Linked DNA regions of Yarrowia lipolytica. The protein of the gene in region 1 purifies or fractionates together with the protein of each later gene. This does not show direct contact. Links are inferred from orthologs where the notes say so. Each region holds a gene or a part of one and is shown on either strand. Other genes may lie near its edges. The genes, in order: YALI1_F35907g, YALI1_E19082g and YALI1_B23061g.

Region 1 (3,765 bases):
TTTTAACTAATGATTCATTACAGCTCAATTTTTTTTTATTCTGATGATTCATTACTCAATTTTTTTATTCTAATCAGCTGACTAATCAAATGTACGGTATTCTACGTCCAATTTTCTTTTTTCAATATCGTTAAACATGCCTGGCTAGCTCAATCGGTAGAGCGTGAGACTCTTATTCTTAGGTGTCATCTCAAGGCTGTGGGTTCAAGCCCCACGTCGGGCTTTTTTAGTCTCCATTCTTCATTTGATTACTAATAATAATCATAAGACTGCGTATGATAAGGCAATAATATCGCTTCAAACGCAACAAAGGCTCATTTTTCTAATATTGGGTCATGAATTACTGTCTAAATATGCAACTGTCGCTCCTTGACTGTCTTCTTGGAAGGATCATACTCAACCCAGCTGGCGATCTTTCTGTTCAGGAAGGGGCCAGGGTTGACCACCATACACTCCTCGTACCTGAGAGAGAACTTCGGAGCATGTGTGTCAACCATAAACAGGATCGTAGGCAGTGGACTGAGCCATAGAGTTTCGTCGTAGTCCCAGGCAACAGGTCTGTCGTGTCTGTTGAAGGGAGACAAGTGACCCTGATCACAAATGGTTCGCACAATCTTGCGAGACTCCACCTCCTTGGCTGAAAGAGTGTTGGTAGGACCCACTTGGCTGGCCATAGGAGTGCTGATATCCACTGGTCGAGTGAGGTTGCTGAGCCCCTCTCCAAAGTCGAAGGACGATTCGGGCTCGTTGACTACAACGTCGTTGATCATTACTTCATCGTTGTCAATCTCAATGTCATCATCCGAATCGTCCGAATCGTCCTTGGCAGAATCAAGTTGAAGGTTGCACTTTCGCAGACGCTCACTGAGTCCATCTCGGTAGAAGACCATATCCTGTGTAAGATAAGCCATTCTACAGGGGTTGGAGCTCATTGAAACATCCTCTCCACATAGTCTGGCGACTCTGTTAATCATGGTGGTTGGAAGAGGTTGCAGAGGAACAACTGCATTCTGTGTCGGGAAAGTGTTAGTCCAAGGATCCCGTTGGCCAGGAACAAAAATAATCTTGACACCAGTGATAATGCTGCTGAACTCCTTGAAAAGCTCCTCCAACTTGTCGAACCCCTTTTTGTACAAATGCGGTGGCTGGTACTGACTAGTGAAGTCTCCTGAGAACACCATGGCTAGAGGCTTCTTGGTTCCAGAGTCCTGAAACTCAAGCTCAATGGTCGAAAACACTTTCTGTAGAGCCTTGAGAGTCAAAGGATTGTCCAAATACATATCTCCACCAAACACAATCACTTTCTGATCTACCAAGCGTTTCTCTTCGGCAAGCATTGATGCTTCCACCTGCCGTTCAATTCGTCTCACCACAGAACCATGGGGGTTTCCATGCAGTCCCAGATAGTCCATGTTTCCGTATGCTGTGATGGTCTCCTGTCGTTTCTCGGCCACAGGAGGGCCCATGGTGATGACCACAAACACTTCGGCGTCTCCTGACTTCATGTATCGACCGTTACAGATGACAAAGGAGCCTTCAGGATAGTATACTCCTGGATCAGGCTTGCAACCAGCTGCTAGGATCAGCAGAATACGACCAGTGTCGTCCTGCAAACAAATCTTCTGCTCCGGATTCTTGGAAAGCATTCCGAAGATGGAAAACTCGCCCTGTCGACCAATAAGAGATCGGATCGATGTGATTTTCAGGTCTGTGGTGTCGTCATTGCGCAATAGACGGTTGTAGACCAGATGGTAACGAGTCAGAAACATGTTAGAGGCAGATTGGGCATTGGCGAACAATGTGGGTTTTGTTTTCCGCTTCTCAAACCGTTGCTGGCGGGCATTATAATGGAAAAGAGGCTGATCAAAAGCACTAATCACCTTGAAGAACTCCTTCCACACAACGTCCACAGAAGGAGCTGCTTCTCTGATGACGTTCACCTGTGGCTCTCCTTCCCGATCCTCGATTTCCTCCACTCCAGTCAATCCCACGCTCTTGGAAACCACCTGGACTCGTGCCTTTTCCTTGGCCTTCTTGCTGGCTGTGATCTCATCGAACAGTTCCTGCAGCGGCTTGCCCTCCACAAAAACACCCATCTCCTGCTCCTTCCACAGTCGACAAATCTCCTCCATCATTTTGGCAGCCTCGGCCCCTCGCCATTCGGTTCCGTAGTTTTTGCCTATGATTTCGGTGAGTGTTTCGAGACCTGTTGATTTCAAGTTGAGGCCGTGCTTCTTGGAGAAGATCCGGTACGCCACGGGCCGCATTTGCGATGGATTCAGCTTTATCGGGAGGACTGCTGGCATGGTGGTGTAGCTCGTATGTTGTAGTGTGCTGAGTGTTGTGTAGCTTCGTGCTGCCCTGACGCGTTTTTTCCATTAACGAAATCATGCACGCGTCAAAACCTTGTGTGTGGATGTGTACAAATTTTTAGGAGAGGTATGTATGACCCGTGAACTTAGTATTCCCCCCACATGAGCATCAGTAGCCGTCATAATATGAACGCTTAGGCGATATTTTTTTCTCATATGAAGGTACACCCATGGTAGTTATTGCGGGGACTCGAATAGGGGATAAATTAACACCTTCGACGCCATGTACTTGTACTTGAAATTCTGGTGTTGTCGCTGTGTGTGCAGCGTGTGGGGGTGCACATTGAGAGGGACGGGTGAGTATGAGCTCATCTTCTTGTGTCGGTACAGTACATGTACTTTGTAGAGTACTTGTACACATAGTGTGATAGAGATCACATGTTATCAGCTCAGAATATTGACCGTTCTTACGCTTGCAGGGTGCACACCCCACCGTGGCTTCACAGCATACGAAGTCAGTTTAAGGAGTTTAAGACGACCCACTCAAACAATTAACAGACACGAGATAAGTACAAGTACTGTACTTGGACTTGTATAATGAGAACGAGGTGAGATTCAAAACCCCTTTTATACACAACTCATTCAATATTCGTACCTACAAGTACCCATACAAGTACCTGTACGACAATTGTCATCTTGTACTAACTCACCACCATAATTCATATACACATTCTGTATCGCACACTGCATTTCATATACTTAACAAGGTTCTCAAGGCTAACGGTAAGGAAGCGGAATAATAGGAGGGGTAGGGCTATTACAAGTACGAGAGTTATTTTCGAAATTAAAACCACACAAATCTACAAATTGGACACAGTAATATTGATCCATTGCTTTGTCCGGTCAAATTATGTCTCAAAGTCCCTCCTACAGCCCTCCGCAAACCCCCCATCCGGGTATCGACCGGGTCGACCCTAGCCGACATATCCACGGCATCTCTAGTTCCGAAAGTATCACGCAAGTTTAAATATATATAATCCGGGCAGTAGACCAATATTTCAGTGTGTCGATGCTAGGGAATTGATGGAAAAGAGAAACGGCTGGGAATACGACTGAAACCCACTGAGGACGAGCCCCCGCGGCGCAAATGTCCACATCGCCAACATTGAACCTGGACATCGAAAGTAGATTGTTCGACATCTGTTCACCACTGCACTTCAACAAACGACTTTTTCCATGGAAGAGACAACACCACAGAGGGAGATATTATATGATATCCGCTGTGATACCTATTTGTGATACAGGTGGTTAGTTATTACGACTTCGGCGACGACTATGACGATTCAAGCATCCACTACAGACAGATTTGACAACATCACATTCCGACACTGACAGACGTGCTCCCGGCCCAAGAGGCATGTACTGGAATAAATGGAAGCCCTTACATCAAATG
Region 2 (2,352 bases), on another chromosome or scaffold:
GGGGGCCAGGAGCCGTCGCTGCTGGAGCTGCTTCAGAACATCAACCAGAACGAGATCAGCTCCATGAGTGTGACTCTCAATGGCTCCGCACGAGTGGTGGAGGACCTGGCCGAGGCCCAAAAGTACCTTGCTAAACACGAGAAGGCCAACCCCGACGCCAAGCAGTTCATTGAGAACCAGGAGATTGCCCTTCTGCTCGTCACCTTCAAGGAGGTCAAGGTTACCGAAGTTGATGTTTAGTTGTGCCACAAGAGCAAGAGCGACAAGAACAACCAGCAACCACCACCAAGTAACGCCAATTCCATTTCTTCTGATGATATTGTGGGTGCTGGTAGATTCAATGCATGCTAAGTCATTGCAGTCTCCAAACCTACAAGGTTCCGTAAATTCTTGTACGATACAGTACATACTCGTACCCTGTACTTGTAACAACATGTACAGTACGTAGCTTATCATTAGTCGTGGCTTGCCCCTCAATACTTCAATTTGGTCGGTTTCGATTACAATAAATATATTCATTAGTGTACATGTTGGAAGATGTGTTCTTGTATCTGAGAAACATCACCATTCGGGGCCGCCTTGTTGCGGCACATTATCATCCCACTGAGACAACTCTCGTCTTCTTTCCGAAGTGTCCACTCGGTCTCCATATCGCAACGAAGAGTCCAGTTGAGATGAAGGCACAGCCAACGAAGACTCGTCGTCATGTCCATAAGTAGGCTCATCATCCTCGTCGTCCTCGGGGTTGTCACTTTCCGAATAGATTATGGGCTCCTCCTTCTTGCCGGCCTTGCGGATCTTGATCATTTCCTCCATGCCTTCTACCACAAACGGTCTCATTTCGTTGATCTCCAGAGCCCCCAGTCGGTCCATCTGCAGCATGTTTTCGTTGACCTCCTTCATACCCTGTCGACTTTTTTGCTCCCGCACCTCTCGGATATCTCGCACGAGGTTTCGGATCACCTGTGGCGGCGAGGTGAGGTCGTCTGGAGCGGTGGTGAGCACAATCTGGGCGATTTCCAGCCAGTGGAAATCCACGTTGGAGAACGCGGTGGGGTTGGCATGCTCAAAAGCCAAGATCCGCCGCAAATTGCTTTCCTCCATCCAGTCCGGGGGCACGAACTGACACCGCTGCTGTTTCTTGAGCGCGATGGCCATCCAGATGGGGACTCTGTTCTTTCGAAGAGGATGCATGAGAGGCAGATCTGTGCCTGCCAGCTTGATGGGGTTGCCGACTCGTCGCGGCAGGATCTCGATGGTCTCATTCTCCGCCATGAAATGCAGCTCCGACGGCAGGAAGGTCTCCAGCTGTTCCGCTGGCACCGACATTTTTTCTTCTTCTTGCTGGTTGGTGTGCGACGATGGCTAATCTAATCACTTCACGCGTTTCCGTTGAAATTATCCTGCATATATGATGCATGATGAAAGATTGTGGGTTCGATTACGAGGCGTATAATATTACCGAGAGAATTAAATTGGAGATACGACCACGAATACTCGGCGTGTCATGGGATAGTGACGGTTTTTGGTGGCAAATGGTCATGCAAGTTTTGATGTTTTTATGAAGAGATAGCTTCTGGTAGCTCTATTCCAAATGTCTATGAAGTCACAACCCGTATTCTTGGAGACCCCTTGGGGGCAAATGTCGAGAATACGACCGTTCTGAAGGCGCCCTTGCTTCGGTATTTAGGACCTCAAACACCAGCGTTCCCCAGACTCGTGTCAGGTCCATTCACTTATGCTCAGGTACTCATAGCAGTTCTCCTGGTCTGAAAGGATGCCGATCATCGGCTCTACAGTACCTCTTCCATCTCGGGGTGGTGCGCACAAGACGGCATGTCATAGATATTCTTTTACCGCGTCACGAGCATGTGTTTCGATCTGATCATGAACATTTTCATCAACGGCATGGACTTGATGGTCGTCGGTAAGGGAATCCCGTGGAAAGCTATTACAAATACTCGTGTCTGGCAGGGGTCGAATCGTCATCTGAACCACCAAGTGAACGATAACAATTGTCTGTAGTCCTCTGACACCGTCTGTAATCCTCTGACACCCCACCTCCGATTTGATGCCTTCACATGCTGGCCGACGAAGATAGAGTGTGAGACATTTAGTGAGAGCAAAGCAAGTACTTGTAGCGATAGAGCTCTCGGATGTCTGCGCACCAGCCGGATGTCTGCGCACCAGCCGGATGTCTGCGCACCAGCCGGGATGGTTTGAGTCATGAGTCATTAGTCATTAGATTGCTAGTTTCCGGGAGAACCACAGTCGGTCTTGCGCCAAACTCCAAACTCCGATCGCGACCAAGTCTTGGATTTGGTCATCGGAGTTGGAGGTCGAGTTGGAGGT
Region 3 (2,453 bases), on another chromosome or scaffold:
GAACAAGTAAGTTACTTGGTAATGCCAAGTAATATTATGGATAATGATAGGTTACAGCACTTCGTAAAATAAACGAAATAATGACCTTTGGTTTGATAGTCTTGTCTTTATAGGTGAGATTCTGTGATGCATGGTATTTTACTTGGGTTAAGTGGTAACTAAGGCGCAATTTGCCCAAGACCAAGTCCAATGCGACCAATACCGTTACCTGGAAGCACTAAGGGTTAATGATGATATGCATTTTACAATTAGATGTCTCTATTTATGGTAAGCATCTGTATGTACAGCTTCCAGGTCGCCCGCGCAGGGTCTCCATGGTGAGTTAGATACATGCTAAACGTCTCGACCACGTTGAAGTGTCTTGCTTTTTAAGGCTTCGTCGAGTAACTGATGATACAGACAAGGCAAGTGGGCGATTGTCATATTTTAGCTGCTTGAGCTCTTGACACACAATCGTCGGTATGTACGGGTGTCAATAACGTAGCATGCGAGCGTCAACTTCACAAAATAACTAACAGCCCACAGCTTGCGTGTCTCAGCATTAGTTCCATGAACTCCCCCGTCGAGTTGTTTCACCTCATTTTCCTTCTCTCATCAAATGAAAACAACATCACCACTCTCAACATACTTCACGATGATGGAGTACTTGATGACGACGATACTACCCTTTCGCAGCTTGACTGAATCGTTTCCAATGATAATCTTTCGTCCTGTATCCTTGACTACTCGCACAAACACTGGATGGTCCATGTTGGGCTCCTGAACCATGCTTGCACTTCCTGAAGAGTCGTTCATCTGTTTGAGACTGTCTGGGAACGTGTTCATAAACTGATGCGCGTACAGATTCTTCAACAGCGCATAGTGCCGGTTGAGATACATTCTCTCTGTTTGAGACATGTTCATTCTGTCCAAGGGGGAAGACTGGTAGTACTCCATGCTGTTATCGATCTTAAGCAGTCGCACGCGCAGATACGACCGGATCAGGTACTTGATACGCTCCAGCTCCGTCTCCACAATCAGCAGTTCCAGCTTCACGTCTGTGTCCGGACTCATGTCTATCGACTTCTCCTCAATCACCTCGATCTGAAGCTGCACACGTTTGAGAATCCGGAACAACAGCGCCTCCTTCGTCGGAAGAAGCGTTGGTGACATTCGCTCAGTCACCCATGAATGTGTCAACTCTTTGATATCAGCCTCCTTCTCTTCCAAAGTACCTAGTGGGTCGTGTGGTCGCACGTTGTTGATCAGATCATCAATATCGTCCGTTTCATCCATGCTCAGACCCGCTGGATCAGATGTGTGCGGCGGTGAGTGGAACGACGAGTCGAGCCCGCTGTGAATGTCCATGCCTTCCAAGTCCAAGTTGTCCTCCTCCATTTTTGATATCGTTGTGTTGTGTGCGTGACGAATTTTTGATGTGCTCTAATTAAGTTGACGCGTCGTGCAGGTCCTGATGTGCGTGTCTAAGCAGGAATCGCTGTGGAAGTACCCAGTAGCCGGTAGCTACCTGGTACATCAATCGTAGCTATATATATGTACCTTGGTTTCGTGTAAAGCTCAAGAAATTGCTAAAAATTATATTACTAAGGTCTCAAACGCCCAAGGTGATGGTTACACTAAGGTTCTCACACGGCGGCTAAATGGCGGGTATTTTTACAACATCTAAACTAAGGTAGCTCTGCTACGCTGTTATTCTGGATCTCCCCAAAAAGATTTTTCCGAAATACTTCTCGTTGATGATGTGACGTGAACGCTGTTTCGTTTCTTCAGTTGTAATTTATATTCCCAATTCTCCTACGTAGCCTCACAAACCCGTGCCACCCCAACGTCTATTTTGTTAAGACATCCTCACTAGATATTCTAAATCCACTTGACTGTTGCAGTGCATCACAACTGCACCCTTTATTCACTGCACACCGCTACACGAACACGAACACGAACAGCTAACATCACACACACTAGTGCTTGCAAACGCTCACAAATAGCCTGGAAATGAGCTCGAGCAGACGCAGCGAGATCGAGGCCAAAAGGGCCAGAATCGCAGAGATGCGAAAGGCCAGAGAAGCTCTTCAACAGCAGGAGGTGAGTCTCAACAAACACACAAACACAGCCAGGGGGAACCTACTAACACAGGCACAAAGAGCAGCACCCTCTAAAGAGGATATCGACCAGCTGGTAGACTCATTGGTGACTACTCGAATTGACGACACCCCAGGATCTTTTTCCATAGTCATTGCTGATGCCTTTGATCAAGTTCCTGTGGTTCAGGGTCCTGATACATCAGCCACTTCCAACACAGCATCAGCGTCAGCTTCAACTTCTACAGCCGCTGCGATTACAACTCGGACAACATCACCGCCACTCTGCTACTCAAAGGGGGTCCAGACCGACCCCATTGATGACGATATTGATCTCGACAGCGACGAAACAGCAGCAGACGCGTCCAGACCAGA

Evidence for each region.
Region 2: the proteins of YALI1_F35907g (region 1) and YALI1_E19082g purify together in Saccharomyces cerevisiae (affinity purification with western blotting; 3 studies listed by BioGRID). This does not show direct contact. The link is inferred for Yarrowia lipolytica from reciprocal best matches to the Saccharomyces cerevisiae genes DPB2 and PSF2.
Region 3: the proteins of YALI1_F35907g (region 1) and YALI1_B23061g purify together in Saccharomyces cerevisiae (affinity purification with western blotting; 3 studies listed by BioGRID, with this or other methods). This does not show direct contact. The link is inferred for Yarrowia lipolytica from reciprocal best matches to the Saccharomyces cerevisiae genes DPB2 and SLD5.

Annotation. Positions count from the first base shown.
Region 1 is NC_090775.1:3,589,308-3,593,072, reverse strand, and holds YALI1_F35907g (uncharacterized protein), read right to left. Parts: upstream 2,307-3,765; coding exon 348-2,306; downstream 1-347. Other genes in the region: YALI1_F35894g (uncharacterized protein), read left to right, coding at 3,460-3,616, 3,661-3,704. UniProt on the Saccharomyces cerevisiae protein: As accessory component of the DNA polymerase epsilon complex participates in chromosomal DNA replication.
Region 2 is NC_090774.1:1,907,186-1,909,537, reverse strand, and holds YALI1_E19082g (uncharacterized protein), read right to left. Parts: upstream 1,330-2,352; coding exon 562-1,329; downstream 1-561. Other genes in the region: YALI1_E19098g (uncharacterized protein), read left to right, coding at 1-240; YALI1_E19070g (uncharacterized protein), read right to left, coding at 2,250-2,352. UniProt on the Saccharomyces cerevisiae protein: Functions as part of the GINS complex which plays an essential role in the initiation of DNA replication by binding to DNA replication origins and facilitating the assembly of the DNA replication machinery.
Region 3 is NC_090771.1:2,305,043-2,307,495, reverse strand, and holds YALI1_B23061g (uncharacterized protein), read right to left. Parts: upstream 1,378-2,453; coding exon 595-1,377; downstream 1-594. Other genes in the region: YALI1_B23055g (uncharacterized protein), read left to right, coding at 1,993-2,453. UniProt on the Saccharomyces cerevisiae protein: Required for DNA replication. Functions as part of the GINS complex which plays an essential role in the initiation of DNA replication by binding to DNA replication origins and facilitating the assembly of the DNA replication machinery.